Caenorhabditis elegans: one gene and its partners. The protein of the gene in region 1 purifies or fractionates together with the protein of each later gene. This does not show direct contact. Each region holds a gene or a part of one and is shown in the gene's direction. Other genes may lie near its edges.

Region 1 (8,384 bases):
GCGGCCTGATCGCGGACGACTTTCGACGGCAATGAAGCAACTTCCTCGACTTTCTGCCGATTTTTCATCTTATGAATCTCGACACTCGGTTTTTTGTTCGCCGCCTCCCATTCTTCCTGCATTTTGAGCAGATCATCGTCGGTTTCCGTCGCCGTAGGACGTTTTACGTGTTCTGACATTTCTGAAAATCTAAATTTTATCGATTTCTTACGAAAAAATGCTGAAAAACACCCGTTTTTATCGATTTTTCCATTACAATCGGTAAAAAACCTGATATTTCAAAAGTTTGCGCGTCAAGTCTGTCGCCGGGTACGCAGACACACCATCACGTCAGATTGCACATTTTGAGAAAGAATTCTTCAAAAATGGGGAATTTTCGATTAAAAATCGCTATCATGTCTATAAAAATTGGAAGTTTTCACGATTCTAACGTAAAATTACTGGAAAATCTAAATCTCAACGATTTTTCGATAAAAAAAAATTCAAAAATAACACCGAAACACTGGATCGGACTTAGTATGAGCTGAAGAATATTTTAAAATAGAACTTTTATTGACGCAATGAAATTTTAACGATATACAGCACTAAATAGAAAAAAATCTTTTGCAATAAGACCGGCTTTATGTGAAATTGAATAAATTTGAAATGGAAAATCGATCAATCTGCCCAAGTATCAGTGGATGTAGACGGCTGCTGGCACGGCTCAGGAAGTTGGAAAATTTCTCGCATTTCCTCGGCGCTTTTCCCATTGATACGACTGGCGACTGTTTGGGTTCCATAATTCACGAGTCCGGTAATATCCAAATCATAGGCAGCTTTAATAACAGCTAGCAAGTTTCCCATCGGCAGTACACTGAAAAAATGTTGATCCCAGGACGGAATGACGACTTTCTTTTTGCCTTTTTCGGCTTTTGCAATCTCTGGATCGTCTCCCTTGTGTTGATCACACCATTTAATCAGTAGATCCAATGTGTATTCATGTTCATCAACAGGTATCGGCTTAATCTCCGCACAGTCTTCTTTATCATATCCTAGCTCTTTGATAGTTGTAGAAATAGTGCTGGAGAGCTGGAGAGCACGGATATCTGCCTGCAGCACCTCTCCATTGGAAGAAGCCAGTTGAAGTAGGCGAGGTGGTGCGCTTGGAGGAGCCGGCTTTGGAGCACTAAAAAAAGCGCGATTTCTGATTTTTTGAGAAAAAATTGCTGAAAAATAAAAAATTTTTAATGATTTTTCAATGAAAATTGGGAAAAATGCTATCAAAATACCTGGCTGGTGCACGTTTTTTATTGTTTTTCTTGTTCTTCGGCATCTGCTTTCTGGCCCAAATTTGATGTCTGAAATACACAAAATATAGGTTTTTTTAAAGTTTTTGTGTGAAAATTCGAAAATTTTCGATTGAAAATCGATATTTCAGCAATCAAAATTGGTAAATTTCCCGAAAATTGCTTAAGAAATCCTGTTTTTATCGCTTTTTCGCTAAAAACGTTTTTAAAATCGAAAAAAAAAATATTTCGAAAGTTTGTGCGTCAAGTTTGGCGCCGGGTACGCAGACACACCATCACGTCAGATTGCACACTTTCCAGATTTTTTTTGAAAAAAAAGTAATTTTCGAATAAAAATCGATGTTTAAGCTATTTTTTTTAACAAAATAATAAATCTAGATGCAATTTATTCAACAAAAAACCCTATTTAAACATAACAATCACCAGAAAACAAGAAATTATCGATTATCAATCAAAACATGGGTAGTTTTCGGTCGCCGCTTGTTCTCCACATACAAGAACCGCCACTGCCAATCTCCGTCTCGTTGCTCCATTTCAGCTTGAGCAATTCCCTCATCTCGGTCTCCTTTCACGTGGAAAAGCACCCGAATCCGCTGCATTCCGTCCTTCTCGTACTTGTGATGTGCCACGTGGCGGCGGCGTCCACGTGACGTTTCCTCGCCGAATCCGGCGATTGAGGCGCCGAATATTTCCTGACAACGGCCATCATCACGTACCAATGCGAGAGCTCTGCAAAAAATATTTGATTTAAATTGGTTTTTCCCGGAAAAAAGTGAAAAACCAACTTATTGAAAATTGTCTGCGGGGAATCTTGAGCGAAAAATTCCCCGGCGAGCACATAGATAAATGCACCAATTAGACCGATTCCAGCGACAACTGCCGTGTACATAAACGTGTTCGACGCCTTTTCAGCGACTTTTCCGCCAAATGTCGTCGGTTTCGCCTTCTCATGCACCAAAACTTCCTCCAAAATCGATCTCTGGAGCGCATGTTCCTGTTTTGAGGGTGATTTCTGTGATTTTTCAAGTGCTGTGATCGTTCGGGAGAAGCTGCGAAATTGGGATGGTGTTAGGAAGTAGCTGGAAGATTTTTCATTATTTTTCTCTAAAAATTGCCGAAAAGTTACCTTTTCAGCACATTTTGCGTGACTGCACCTGCACAAAGTTTGCTGAGCGGTGTCATTACCTGAAAAGTCAAAAAATTTGAAAAAATTTAAAGGAAAAATTAAGAAAAACGGAAAAAAACTGATTTTGAGAAAAAAATAATTTTAAAAATAGGAAATATTCCAAAGAGACACCACAGAATGCCAGGGAAACTGAAAATTGGAGAATGCAAGTCTATAGTTTTTCCTGCAGCTTAGAAGTGAAAATAAAAGTATTTCCAAGTCGCCTATTTTTATATTAAATTTTATTTTGATAAATTGATTTAAATCCACATTTTAAACAAAATTTTACTGAAATCATCTTGGAAAATCTCGCAGATTTCTTTCTAATAAAATTTTTTGCATCGTAATGCAAACGCGCTCTATCTACACATACTCCTCTCGGACAAACATTTATTTAATGAATTTTTGCGCGTTTTTAACCATTTTTCCACTATTTCTTGTCGAATTTTCACAATTTTTTTAATGATTTTTTTGCAGAATGTTGTCTCAAAAGATTCTTCTCAACCTCCGTGCCTTCGCCTTTCACCCACTGGCCTACAGCACCACCACAAACCCGGCTAACGAGGTTTTCATCGAAAGATTGACTGGAAAAGATGAAGGTGCGCAGCCTTTTTGATAATTTTTATTAAAAATTTTGCTTCCAGGAATCACAATTCTCAACATGAACCGTCCGGCGAAGAAAAACTCCTTGGGACGAGTTTTTATGGACCAGGTAGGCAGTTTTCGCAGAGTTTTGCCGCAAAAAATTACATTTCCAGTTCCGTGAGGTGCTCGACGAGCTCAAGTACGATCCAAAGACACGTGTGGTGATTCTCAACTCGAAATGCGATAATGTGTTCTGTAGTGGTGCGGATTTGAAAGAACGCAAGACTATGAGCCAGCAGGAGGCCACCAGATTTGTCAATGGGCTCCGTGACTCGTTTACTGATGTAAATAACTTGAATTAATCGATTTTCAGTCAAAAAATCGAGAAATTTGCGGTTTTTTCCCCTGAAAACGTCGAAATTTTCAGGTAGAACGCCTTCCACAGCCAGTTATCGCCGCAATCGACGGATTTGCACTGGGAGGTGGATTGGAGTTGGCACTGGCTTGTGATATTCGTGTTGCTTGTTAGTGAAAATAATTTTCCCTGGGGAAACACTAAAAAAAAAAATTTTTGAAAACGTCAAATTTAGTTCAAAATTCGAGAAAATACGTAATTTCCTGACTTTTCCACTTGTAAAATGCCAAATTTTGTCTAAAAATTCAATTTTAATTCAAAAATTACAAGTTTTAACGTGAAACTTCTATTTTCGGCAAAAATGCTCTTAAAAGCTTCTTAAAAGATCCTTTTCAGCAGAAAATGCTCAACAACTCAGCAAAAATCTCAAAATTTCCACCAATTTGGGTCAAAGAACCTCATTTTTGCTCTAATTTTCCCATTTTTTCTGCTGGAAAATCCAATTTTCAACCAAAAAATGCCGAAAAACTTAATTTTCATGTAGAAAAAGCGTAAAACTTTTCAGCTCGAAACTTTTTTTTTCAGTTTTGCATTAATTTCCCCATTTTTTCAGCGCAAAAGACAAAAAAAAAAGAATTTTATTCCGAAAATTCCCAATTTTTAGCCTAAAAATCTGAAAAATTTGAACCATTTTGACTCCATTTTCAGCAAAAAAAAAGCATAAGAATCTAAAACTTTCAATTATTTTTAAGTAAAAAACTCTTTTTTCTCTCATTTCTCAATTTTTGCGCAAAAATGCCTAAAAACCTGCATTTTTTGCGCAAAATGCTCTAATTTTCATGTAAAAAACGTAAAAATTAGGATTTTTCAGCTCAAAACTTATTTTTCTTCGATTTTGCATTAATTTTCCCATTTTTTCAGCACAAAAAGCCAAAATAAGTCTATATTGAGTGAAAAACTCATTTTTGCCCTAATTTTCATGTTAAAAAACGTAAAAATTCGAATTTTTTAGTTTTAGCTTTTCATAGAAATTTACCTTTTTTCCCAAAAACTACGAAAATTTCGGTTTTTCATCACAAAAATCGTGAAAATTGCCATTTTTTGACTTAAAAATCCAATTTTTAAGTAAAAAATACTTGAAAATCTCCATTTTGAGTCAAAAAACCAAAGTTTTGCTCCAATTTTCCCATTTTTTCCAGCTCAAAAAGCCAAAATGGGTCTATTTTGAGTAAAAAACTCATTTTCGTTTCATAGAAAATTGCATTTTTTCAACACAAAAAATACGAAAATTTTAATTTTTCAGCTCAAAAATCGTGAAATTTTCCATTTTTTGACTTAGAAATCCTTTTTTTCAGGCAAAAATTTCAAAAAATCTTCATGTTGAGTAAAAAAACCTAAGTTTTGCTCTAAATTTATCCATTTTTTCAGCTCAAAAAGCCAAAATGGGCCTAGTCGAAACAAAATGGGCTCTAATTCCCGGCGCCGGAGGTTCTCAACGTCTCTACCGTATTGTCGGAGTCGCAAAAGCCAAAGAGCTCATCTACACAGCTGAAGTGCTCAACGGAGCCGATGCTGCCAAGCTTGGAGTCGTTAATCACGTCGTTGAAGCCAATCCAATCGAAAAATCACTGGAAATCGCACGAAAAATCATTCCAAGAGGCCCGATTGCTGTGAAATTGGCCAAATTGGCAATTAATTTGGGCTCTCAGACTGATATTACCAGTGCTTTGAGTGTTGAGCAACAATGTTATGCACAAATTGTACATTCAAAAGATCGATTAGAGGGAATGGCGGCTTTTGCTGAGAAGAGAGATCCTATTTATAAGGGCGAATAAATTTTGGGAGAAAAGGGAGAAATTCGGCGGGACATTGAGTGAAAAATCGCGAAAATTCGACGAAAAACGAGTGAAAATTGAATTTTCTTGGATTTTTGGATTTCTGGCAATTTCGGCCCGAAATTCAGAAAAAAAAATTAGTGAAAAATCGTAATTCTCGAAAAACTTGAATTTTTCACAAATTTTCTGCGATTTTTGATTTAAAAATCGACTTTTCAGAAATATTTTGAACACATTTTGATGAAAATTTGTGAAAAAAAAATTCAAAAACTGTGTGAAACTTGATTTTTCAAGAGATTTCGGAGTTTTTAACGATTTTTAAGCGCATTTTTGCGCAAAAATGCTGAATTTTACAAAAAAAAAACGTGATTTTTTGATGCAAAAATGTCAAAAATTGCACAATTTTTTAAAAATTTTTGCAGAAATTTTCAACTTTTCATCGATTTTCCCGATTTTTCTCTCAATTTCTCCCATTTTTCCTATACTTTCTCGAATAATTGTATTTCTAGATGTGTCGCTATTATTTATTTTAATTTCAGGATTTTTTGAGCTTTTTCAATGTGTAATTTTACACCGGTTTTTAATAAAGTTTTTATCGCATTTTTCCCAAATTTTTGTGTGTTTTTTTTTCGGTTTTTGCCGAATTTTTTACCTTTTAATGCTTATTTTCAGATCCAGCTCAACGAGAGCTTCAATTTGACTATAATCATGACCTATTTTGCTAAAATTTGAACGAAACGTTGGGTCCCGCCACGAAAACTACAGTAATCCCGAGGGGTTTCGTGGCGAGACCCAATTTTTTTGTAATTTCCAGCAAAGTAGGCCATGATTATACTTATTTTAAAGCTCTCAGTGAGCTGGAGCTGGAAAAAGCTGAAAATAACTCAAATTTTGAATTTTATTTCCAAAAAAAAAAGTATTTCCATAAATAACAGTATTTTTTTGGGAAATTCAATATTTTTTTGTTATTTTCAGCTTTTTTTCAGCTCCGGCTCCCTGAGAGCTTTGATTTAAGTATAATCATGGCCTACTTTGCTGGAATTTGAACAAAATCAGGTCCCTCCACGAAAACTACAGTAACCCGGTGGTTTTCGTGACGAGACCCAACTCAGAGCAAAGTGGGTCTTGATTATACTTATTTTAAAGCTCTCGCTGAGCTGAAACCGATTTTCAGCCAAATTTTACGAAAAAAAAATCGAAAATCTAAGAAGTTCTAGTAAATTTGGCATTTTTCCAGTTGAAAATTGAATGAACAATGCATTTTTCCAATTTTTTGAGAATTCACTCATGAAATTTAAAATCTGCTTGCCGAGAGCTTCAATATAAGTATAATCATGACCTAGTTGGTTCAATTTCGAAGAAAATGGGTCTCGCCACGAAAATTACAGCAGTTTTCGTGGCGAGACCCAACTTTTTTCAATTTCGAACAAACTAGGTCGTGATTATACTCATTATGAAGCTCTCGATGAGCCAAATCCAACAAAGCCCAAGTTTCAGATGCATCTATCTGTTCTCCGTCGACTTTCAGCGGCGTCGGCTTCACCTCAAAAATGGGAAATTTTCGCGTCAGTTGTGTTGTCGAGAGCTCCTGTCGTAGCTCCACCAATGTCGGAAGTCGAATCAAGATTTCATCGACTTCAAATGGCTGAAGAGCAAGAAAAGAGCCTAATGTGTAATTATGAGCTCAAAACGAAACAGGATGAGAAGTATGGAGCAGGATTATTTGGAAATTTTGAGCAAAAAAATCTCGATTTTTCTGCGAATTTCAGATTTTTTTCGATTAAAAAAATAAAAAATTTGATATTTTTTCTTTAAAAAATAAGCGAAAAATGTGAAAGCACCTTTTTTTGAGCAATTTTCGTTTAAAAAACGCGAAAATTAGCAATTTTTTGCTGAAAATTCTGAAAATTTCCATAAAAGTCACATTTTCTGGACTTTTCTGTAAAATTTGGGTGAAAATTGCCATTTTCGACGCAAAATCAATCGTAAAACGCGAAAAAATCAAATTTCCCGCGCCGTGATTTTGAGTTTCAAACGACACTCCGGTATTCCGCGGCGTGTTGTTTATCGCTGAGGAGATCTTGCGGGAATTTGAATTTTTTGTCGAATTTTAACTAAAAATGTGTGACTTTTATTGGTAATTTCTATTTTTTTCCGGTAAAATCTCAAAATTTTAGAATTTTTCATCAAAATATTGAAAAAAAATTGATTTTTTTTTGTTGAAAATTCAAATTCCCGCCAAAATGTTGTTGTTTAGCGTGAAATTCAAGTTTTCAATTCGAAAAAAAATGATAAAAATTACGAAAAATGAATATTTTTCCAAAAAATTTAAAAATTTTGACAAAAAAAAATTTTAAGCTCAAAAATCCACATTTTTCTCAGCAAAATGCCTTTTTATACAAAAACGTTGAAAATTTAATTTTTTTTGTGAAAAACCGGTTTTTTTGACTGTAAAAACCTCAAAAAACCGGATTTTCAGTCAATTTTCAGCTTAAAAACCTCAAATTTTCACCCAAAATCGCAAAAAAACTCCCTAATTTCCAGAATGGTAGCCCGCCGTGCTCAACTAATTGCCGACGGAAAAGAGCTCTCGGAGCTCGACGAAGAAATTGGAGTTACAAATGCCGTTCGTGAGGACGATTGGAAAAAAGCCGCTGAGGATTTGGATAAGAAATTCAAATTCGGCGAATTCCCGCCGAAAAATGAGCTGAAAAGTGTGGAACGCGAGTTGCAGAGGAAGCTTGTGCTCATTGTAAAGCAGAAATTGGGAGAAAAGGGTTATAGTTCACCGTGGATTCTTCCACAAATGAAGCATCGCGATGGCGAGACGTTGAGACAGGTAAAATACACGGAAAATTGAATTTTCAAGGAAATTTCAGAGAAATTGAGTCAAAAATTTGAATTCCGAACGCCGAGAGCTTCAAATTAAGTATAATCATGACATATTTTGGTCTAATTTGGGTCCTTCCACGAAAAGTACAGTAACCCGGGAGTTTTCGTGGCGGGACCCAACTTTCAGTAATTTTGAACTTCGACTCACCGAGAGCTTCAAAATAAGTCACTTAATCATGACATATGTTGCTCCAATTTGGGAAAATTTTGGGTCCCGTCGCCACGAAAACGCCCGGGTTACTGTACTTTTCGCTGCGGGACCCAAC
Region 2 (3,965 bases), on another chromosome or scaffold:
GAAGGAGGCTGTCGATTCGTTTATCAAGGCCGATGATCCAGGAGCGTACATGGAGGTTGTGAACAAATGTTCTCAAACGGAGCACTGGGAAGATCTTGTTCGTTACCTTCAAATGGCTCGCAAGAAGAGTCGTGAGTCATACATCGAAACGGAACTCGTTTTTGCTCTGGCCAAGACTGGTCGTCTCACTGAACTTGAAGAGTTTATCGCTGGACCAAATCACGCTCAAATCGGACAAATTGGAGATCGTTGCTTTGACAATGGAATGTTCGATTCCGCTAAGATCCTTTTCAACAATGTTTCCAACTTCGCCAAACTTTCCGTTACTCTTGTTCGTCTTGGAGAATATCAAGGAGCTGTCGATGCTGCACGCAAAGCCAACAGCACGAAGACATGGAAACAAGTGTGCTTCTCTTGTGTCGAGAATGGAGAGTTCCGGCTTGCCCAGATGTGTGGACTTCACATCGTTGTCCACGCTGATGAGCTTGAGGAATTGATCAACTTCTACCAAGATCGTGGACATTTCGAAGAGCTCATTGCTCTTCTCGAAGCTGCATTGGGTCTTGAACGGGCTCACATGGGAATGTTCACCGAACTCGCGATTTTGTACTCGAAGTATAAGCCAGAGAAGATGCGTGAGCATTTGGAATTGTTCTGGAGCCGTGTTAATATTCCAAAAGTTCTTCGTGCTGCCGAGCAGGCTCATCTTTGGTCCGAGTTGGTGTTCTTGTACGATAAATACGAAGAATATGATAACGCCGCACTGACAATGATGCAGCATCCAACTGAATCTTGGAGAGAGCAACATTTCAAGGAAGTCATCGCTAAAGTCGCTAATGTTGAGCTATACTACAAAGCAATGCAGTTCTACCTGGATTATAAGCCACTTCTCCTGAATGACCTTCTTACTGTGCTATCGCCTCGGTTGGATCATTCGCGCACAGTTTTGTTCTTCAATAAGCGTAAGTTTAAATTTCGTTTAGTTTTTAAACTTTTAATAACAATAATTTTCAGTGAAGCAAATCCCACTGGTCAAGCCTTACTTGAGACAAGTTCAAAACTTGAACAACAAGGCTATCAACGAGGCTTTGAATCAGTTGCTCATTGATGAGGAGGATCACGCCGGGCTTCGTTCTTCTATTGAGGCTCAAGACAACTTTGACAATATCACTTTGGCCCAACAACTTGAGAAGCACCCACTTGTGGAATTCAGAAGAATTTCCGCATACTTGTTCAAGGGAAACAACAGATGGAAGCAATCGATCGAGCTTTGCAAAAAAGACAAGCTGTACAAGGATGCCATGGAATACGCTGCAGAATCGAGAAACGGAGAACTCGCCGAAGAGCTCTTGTCATTCTTCCTGGATGAGAAACTTTATGATTGTTTTGCCGCCTCCCTTTACCATTGTTATGATCTCCTTCACCCCGATGTCATCATGGAGCTCGCTTGGAAGCATAAGATTATGGATTACGCCATGCCTTACATGATCCAAGTTATGAGAGATTATCAGACGAGACTTGAGAAGTTGGAGCGTTCTGAGCATGAGAGGAAAGAGGAGAAGGCTGAGCAGCAACAAAACAATGGAATGACCAGTGAGTTTTAACAAATATTTAGAATTTAAATTTATTTGATATTTTCAGTGGAACCACAACTTATGCTTACCTATGGTGCCCCTGCCCCACAAATGACTTATCCAGGAACAACTGGTGGCTATGGCGGACAGCCTGCTTACGGTCAACCTGGACAACCAGGATATAATGCCCCTGGATTTATGTAATTCGATAGTTTTATCCCCATTTTCTTACCCCCACCCCCTCACTTTCTCCCCGCATCAATAATTATATTGTAATTTATTGCTTGATGTCTATACACTTTTTTTGTTTAAATTATGATATTCTATTTCTATTTATTCCGTCCCCTATGAAATTGTGATGGTTGTATTCTAATCCGTGAACTTATCCTTAAGGTTGTTGGTCCGATGTGTCGTCTCTCTCAGTTCTGCCCGTTTTCAAAAAAAAGTTGATCACAACTCTTTTAAACCACCAGAACCATCATGAATAAATTAATTCGTTGTTACCAATCGCGTTCGAGTTTCGGATGAAATACTGGTTCAGTCCATCATCATAACATTTTAGTTTTACGATTTTAACTTTTTGTATTATTCACTAGCTGAATTTTTTAAATTGAGATCTAGAATAAGCCATTTTCAGGCCGTATAATGTCTACTAAGCCCGCCGCCGCGAAGACGAAGCCATCGTGTAGTGAAGGTGGTGATCTACGTGTTGAGACTGAAAATGGTTCGTAGATTAAAAAATTCCACCGCGAAGTTTTGTATAAATTTAATTATTTTGAAGGTGAAACATTCATCACAGCAACACAAAGAGCCGACGGAACTTGGAGAAAAGCGAGACGAGTGAAAGGAGGGTCAGTAATCTGGCGATACTGGGAATATAATACCGCTTGTCGATTTACGAAGAATTTTGTACTAGACGTGACAGAAATTTCGATTTTTCGGCTGTTTTTGCTGATTTTTAGGCGAAATTTTGAAAGAAATATCGTAGTTTTTCCGGGGAATTTCATAATTTTCTCACAAAAAGTTGTATATTTTACCGTTGTGTTGTTCGTTAAATTATTCCTAATTTAATTATTTTGAATTAAAAAGATTGTACAATTGAAGCCAAATCTGTAAAACAATGCGAAATTGCCACTTGTCCACGTGTAGTACAAGATTTCTCGTAAATCGACATGCATAAATCCGCGTCGCAACTTTCAAGATCTTTTCTCCGCTTTTTTAGTTGTATTTCATAGAAATCTTAACAAAGATCAAAAAAAATTAATTTTCGGGGAAAAAAGGACACTGTAAAAAAATTAATTTTTCTCGCGGCGAGACCCAAAATCTGTGCGCCTTTAAGTACGCCTTTCAAGTACATAAAAATACAAATTTCAGATATATTCCTCAAGATGAACAACCAAAATATCAAAATAAAATGCAGCTGGAAGCGACAAACGGCCGAAGTTCTGTTCCAGCAGGAGTGAATCCACGTGCAATGGCTTCTGGTTCATCCCGTAAGCCTGTCAGTGGTGAGTCTTAAATATAATAAATTATACATATTTGTATAATATTTTCTCCATTTTTTCAGCCATCAAAGCTAACGTATGCATCACACCACAGGATCATTTCCAAAAGAAAATCGATTTGACGAAAAAGAAGATTGAGGATATTGAAGGAATGGAATCGAGAATCGCTAGCGGGGAGCTTGTTCCTCAACCGAATCAAGTGAAGAAGATCGCACGAAAGCAGGAGTATTTGGATGAAATTGAAAAGTTGACGCTAGAAATGAAGAAGTTGTGAAGGAGATTGCAACGATTAAATATAGATTCTACCTCTCTGTTTCATTTCATGTGCGATAGTTTCAGATAATTATTTATTTTATATTTTGTATTTTATGAACGGGTTCGATACTTGTCTTTTTTCGGTTGGAATGTACAAAAATACACAGAATACACGAATTGATTAATGGCTAGCAGGGTTTGCTTGATTTGGTGGAAGTGGAGGGTTTTTGGCTTCTGAAAAAAATAAATTAATACATTTTGATAATTTCAAAAGAACAAACCATAGGCTCTGCGCAATGTTTCCGTGATAATCTTCATATCGTTCTCAATCGTTTTCGACCAATTTTCGACATCGCCAATTTCCTTGAGAGCATAATTTAGGCCTTCGGTAATGAAAAGCCATTGTTCAGTTTGTTTCGCAAGAGCTGCTGAATTGTTTTCGAATCGTTTCGCTTCAACGTCCAGGCGTTTTTGGTTTCCGTAGGCTTGAGCGACTCTGAAATTTATTTATTGACCGATTTTGCGATGTTTGCTCAAAAAAGACGGTATCAGGTCTCGAGACGACAGAAGAGTACTGTATTTTCAAACTTTGTTGCTGTGTTATTCATTTTTTAATAAATATATATACTTT
Region 3 (4,440 bases), on another chromosome or scaffold:
TTACTGTGCCAATTTCGTTTTTGAAATTTCCAATTTCAAACTGTTCCTCCCATTGTGAACTCCCACCTGACTCGATGTGTGTTTTGTGTCTTTCAAAAAATGTGCTTTACGGAGAAGCAGATATTATTGTTTTAACAAAATTTTTGACGAGACTCTAGTGTACCTTGTGCTTTTTGTGATACACAATGGTGCCGGTATATAAGAGATGGAGGAGGGATAGATTGCACAAACTCTTCCTCTTGGACTTTTGATTTTCTGGAGTGGTTTCGAAAAGGATGTCCTATACTGCTGGAGGTGAGAGTCTCGTTTAGTGTTGAAAACTGTTATATACCAGGTGTTCAGGTTTTCTAGAAATTTTTATGAGTTTTCAATTTTTCTAGAAAATTCGAGGACTTTCTAAATTGTTTAGAAAGTTCTAAAAGTTTCCAGTTTTTCTTTAAAAACGTGCTAGAAGTTTTCAGATTTCTCTAGAAAGTTCTAACACTTTTCAGTTATTCTAGAAAATTCTGAATTTCCCGCCAAGATGTTTTTCTCAGAAAATTTGAATCTCCCGCCAAAGTTTTTTTTCACTTTTAGGGCACTTCTCATCGTTTCAGCTAATTTTTCAATTTCCTAGAGAACTTTCACTTAACACCTTTCTACTAAAATTGATAAGCGACATAAATAATTTAGCGGCCTCGATTGATGTCGGCTGCTGATAAATTTCTTATTTTCGTTTTCTCAAGGATTTTATTCTCAAGGATTTCATCCATTTGAAAAGTTTCTGCAAATACAAAACAGAAGAATATTCATAAGAAATTTGGTGAATGCAAAATTTTTCGCATTTTTATCAATTTAGACTATAACTTTTCACAGCCCGCACATTTCCAGATGCCGAAGCCGCCTTGAAACCGCAATTTGAAGCCTATAGTAAAGCGGTAAACAATGCAGACTGGGATACTGTGGCCTCGTTTTATCATCCAAATGGAGTTATAGTGCAAAACGGGAAAGGAGCGACGTATGGAAAAGATGGTGGGTTGCAAACATACCTGCCTGCCTTAAAGGCGACCTGCTCTGAGACCTGCGTGTCTTTAGCGTCTGCTTCTCATTTCTGAATTGAACTGAAAACAGGAAAAGTAGTAAAATCAAGCGAAAACTTAAAAAACAAAACAACAGCCAGAGTACTAAAAATCAATCAAAATTTCAGCCTTAAAAGCAGAATTCACCAAATTCGCTGAAGCGACCGGAAAATCCGTTGGCTCATTCTCGAATCAAAAATATGAGGGAGCTGGTGACTATCTCATTACCAGCGGGAATTTCTCCAGTGAAACGGAAAAAGCTGGAACTATGAAGGGAACGTTCGTGCAAATCTGGAAGAAGGACGGGGATAAGCACTTGGTTTATCATGAAGAATACGAAGTTACTCCATAGATTTTTTTTGTATTTTTCTGAATTTTTAGATTAAATTTAGAAGTAAGAATTTTCAAGTTTTGATGATTGAAAATTACACCATTTTTAATAAATTCATTTAAAGAGAGGTTTTGTTGTCTTCAGTCCTATTTTAAACCTAGCTGTTACAGTAAAATATCCACAGCAACCCTACAGTACTCCTTCCACATTTGCAGTAACGTTACAGTACACCTTTCGTATTAATAGCAACCCTACAGTACTCTTGTCAAATCAACAGTAGCCCTACAGTACTGTCACATTTGCAGTAATGCTACCGTACAGAAACGCTACCTATCGTATTAATAATAACCCTGCAGTACTTCTGTCATTTCCACAGTAACCCAACAGAACTCTTGCCATATTCGCAGTAGCCAAACAGTTTTTGTCATGCCCACAGTAACCCTACAGTAATCCTACCAGACTGACAGTGTCGGTACAGTAATCCAGCCATACCCACAATAAGCCTACAGTACTTCTACCAAATTCACAGTAACCCTACAGCACTTTTCTCATAGCGACAGTAACTTAACAGTACTCCTGCCATAACCACGGTAATCCTAAAGCAATCCTATCAATTTCACAGGAACCCTACAGTACTCCTATCAAACCCACAGTAATCCTACAGTACTCCTGCAATATAAATAGTAACCCTATAGTACTTCTACCAAATCCGCAGTAACCCTACAGTACTTCTTACAAATCCAGAAATAACCCTACAGTACTCCTGCCATATTCACAGTAACCCTACAGTACTCCTACCATAGCGACAGTAACTTTACAGTACTCCCATCAAATCCACCGTAATCCTACTGTACTTTTGTCGTATCCACATTAACCCTACAGCCCTATTACAACTATTTATGGATTCTCATTACATCGTTGACCCCACTTTTCCCGATACACCGCCTGCCATCATATGACGCCATATTAATGTTCACCTCTGTCAAGAACATCAGTCGATAAATAATCTGCACCTGCTATGCATTGGGTATGCGTCACACTTGTTTTCCCCCGTCTTCGTTGTTTTTCTTTATTTATGTTCCAAGTTTCAGAATAAATGACTTCCAACATGTCCACCTGCAAACAATTTTTATCTACCAAGAAGAAATCAAAAGATTCCTACGAATTCATTGAGAACCTTGGAGAAGGATCCTTTGCGGAGGTTGTCCTCGTCGCAAAGGTCGGCACACCTAATAAGATGTTTGCAATGAAGGAAATTTCCATAGTTGGGAAAGATGAGTGCTTCATGGAGAGCATCAAAAGAGAGTGCTCCATACAGAAGCGTCTCTCTAAAAGTCGGCATTTAAATATGATCCATCTCTTCGAAATTCGTACAAATCCAGAAAACTATCAGTTGATTTTGAGCTATGCTGATGGGGGAGACCTTTTTGAAAAAATTAACCAACACGGAGGACTGGGCTCAGATGAAGCTCATCGATATTTCAAACAGCTAATTGATGGGCTCAGATTTATTCATGAGGAAGGTGTGACTCATCGGGACATCAAGCCAGAGAACTTGCTCCTTACCAAGTCAGGTTAGTCTTTTTTAACCAATCATCAATCAGCCTTGCCTACCAAGCAATCAAAGAACGTGCTCGCTGATTGGTCAGCAGATAAGATGCATTTGCTACGTCAAAATGCAGGCAGTAGGCAGGCACATAGGCATGTAGGCAATGAGACTGCCTACTGCTGAGACCTTTGAAAATTTTCAGGCATTCTAAAAATCGCGGATTTTGGCTTCGCAACTATGCACCGTTTCAATGGAGCAGAACAGATGCTGAACGCGTATTGTGGATCCCCACCGTACATTGCACCTGAAGTATTAACTGGAATAGACTATCGCGGTCCAGCAGTGGATATTTGGTCGGCTGGAGTGGTGCTCATCGCCATGATAGCTGGAGCTGTGCCATGGGAGCAGGCTGACCAGTAAGTTGGTGGGCTTAGGCTTAGGCTCAGTCTTAGGCGTAGGCTTAGGCTCAGGCTTAGGCAGGGCTGGGGGAGAGAAAATTGAAAATTGCAAAAATTTAAAGAAAATCCAGAAATATTTGCAAAAATTCGAGCTGCCCTAAATTTTTTTCCAGAAATTTTTCGAGCTTTTAAAAATTTCAGCTTCGACATTTTCCAATCCCGGTACTGCAGTTTCCGTAGAAATGGCAGAAAAGGAGCATGGAGCCGGATGAGCCAACAAGTGATATCCCTTCTTCGAAAAATCCTTCTCCAGGCTGAGTTAAGAGCGACTATTAGTATGATTGAAGAAGATCCGTGGTTCATATATGGTGAGGAGGTGGACGCTGAGAATAAGGAGAACGGAAGGTGAGAATGTGAAATTTTATCCAATTAATAAGTCGCAATATTTTCAGCCAAGCTCAGTACCGTCAGGAATCACAAACGTCTTCAAAGCCTATTTTGAACTTTGAAAATCTACTCAAAGATCTTAATGTCTCTATTTAATTTTTTTATAATACGTAGGAATAAATGCGTGTTCAATCAATAAAAACATTACCCTGTTGGATCTTTTGACCTATTCTTCCCGATACTTAGACGACGCTCATTTTGTGCAAAATAAATCGATAAAATGCGCCTGGAAATGTTATATGCTACAGCTACTCCTGACCCTATTTGTTGGGTGAACAGGTTGCCCAATTCAGTTGCCAAATTGCAGGTTGTATTGTAACTCCTTCAAATTTTGGCTTCTTTTTTTTTGCAAACTAGAACTTTTGCAACCGGACATGGAACTTTTGAAATTTTTTTGGTAGACGTTTACAACTTTCTGTCAGACTTTTGTAACTTTTTAGTCGCATTTTTCGCAGGCGTTGAACTTTTGTAACCCCTTGGCGATCTTCTGCGGCTTTTCGGCAAACTTTTGCAGTTTTAGACAAGCTTTTGCCATTTCTCGGCAAATTTTTTTAACTTCTTGGCCTTTTTTTTTTAATTTTTGATTTTGCCACTTGTCGGAAAATTTTTAAAGTTTGATGTCAAACTTTTGCGACGTTTAGTATTTATAACTTTTGT

Evidence for each region. Proteins that work in one complex are often made in the same cells at the same time.
Region 2: the proteins of ech-5 (region 1) and T20G5.9 fractionate together in Caenorhabditis elegans (co-fractionation; one large-scale study listed by BioGRID). This does not show direct contact.
Region 3: the proteins of ech-5 (region 1) and txt-2 fractionate together in Caenorhabditis elegans (co-fractionation; one large-scale study listed by BioGRID). This does not show direct contact.

Annotation. Positions count from the first base shown.
Region 1 is NC_003282.8:794,095-802,478, forward strand, and holds ech-5 (Enoyl-CoA hydratase, mitochondrial), read left to right. Parts: upstream 1-2,928; 5' UTR 2,929-2,929; coding exon 2,930-3,050; intron 3,051-3,095; coding exon 3,096-3,163; intron 3,164-3,209; coding exon 3,210-3,380; intron 3,381-3,463; coding exon 3,464-3,560; intron 3,561-4,819; coding exon 4,820-5,226; 3' UTR 5,227-5,826; downstream 5,827-8,384. Other genes in the region: F56B3.4 (RNA polymerase II-associated protein 1 N-terminal domain-containing protein), read right to left, coding at 1-179; skr-18 (Skp1-related protein), read right to left, coding at 658-1,165, 1,269-1,312; F56B3.11 (Mitochondrial import inner membrane translocase subunit Tim21), read right to left, coding at 1,724-2,015, 2,072-2,365, 2,413-2,468; mrpl-46 (Large ribosomal subunit protein mL46), read left to right, coding at 6,724-6,932, 7,771-8,065.
Region 2 is NC_003281.10:10,207,629-10,211,593, forward strand, and holds T20G5.9 (Partner of Y14 and mago), read left to right. Parts: upstream 1-2,211; 5' UTR 2,212-2,219; coding exon 2,220-2,298; intron 2,299-2,355; coding exon 2,356-2,425; intron 2,426-2,948; coding exon 2,949-3,082; intron 3,083-3,141; coding exon 3,142-3,353; 3' UTR 3,354-3,465; downstream 3,466-3,965. Other genes in the region: chc-1 (putative clathrin heavy chain 1), read left to right, coding at 1-962, 1,015-1,593, 1,642-1,778; blos-1 (Biogenesis of lysosome-related organelles complex 1 subunit 1), read right to left, coding at 3,516-3,568, 3,616-3,830.
Region 3 is NC_003283.11:238,402-242,841, reverse strand, and holds txt-2 (non-specific serine/threonine protein kinase), read left to right. Parts: upstream 1-2,341; 5' UTR 2,342-2,416; intron 2,417-2,480; 5' UTR 2,481-2,485; coding exon 2,486-2,963; intron 2,964-3,140; coding exon 3,141-3,354; intron 3,355-3,537; coding exon 3,538-3,741; intron 3,742-3,788; coding exon 3,789-3,879; 3' UTR 3,880-3,940; downstream 3,941-4,440. Other genes in the region: R02C2.7 (DUF4440 domain-containing protein), read left to right, coding at 276-294, 871-1,011, 1,187-1,410.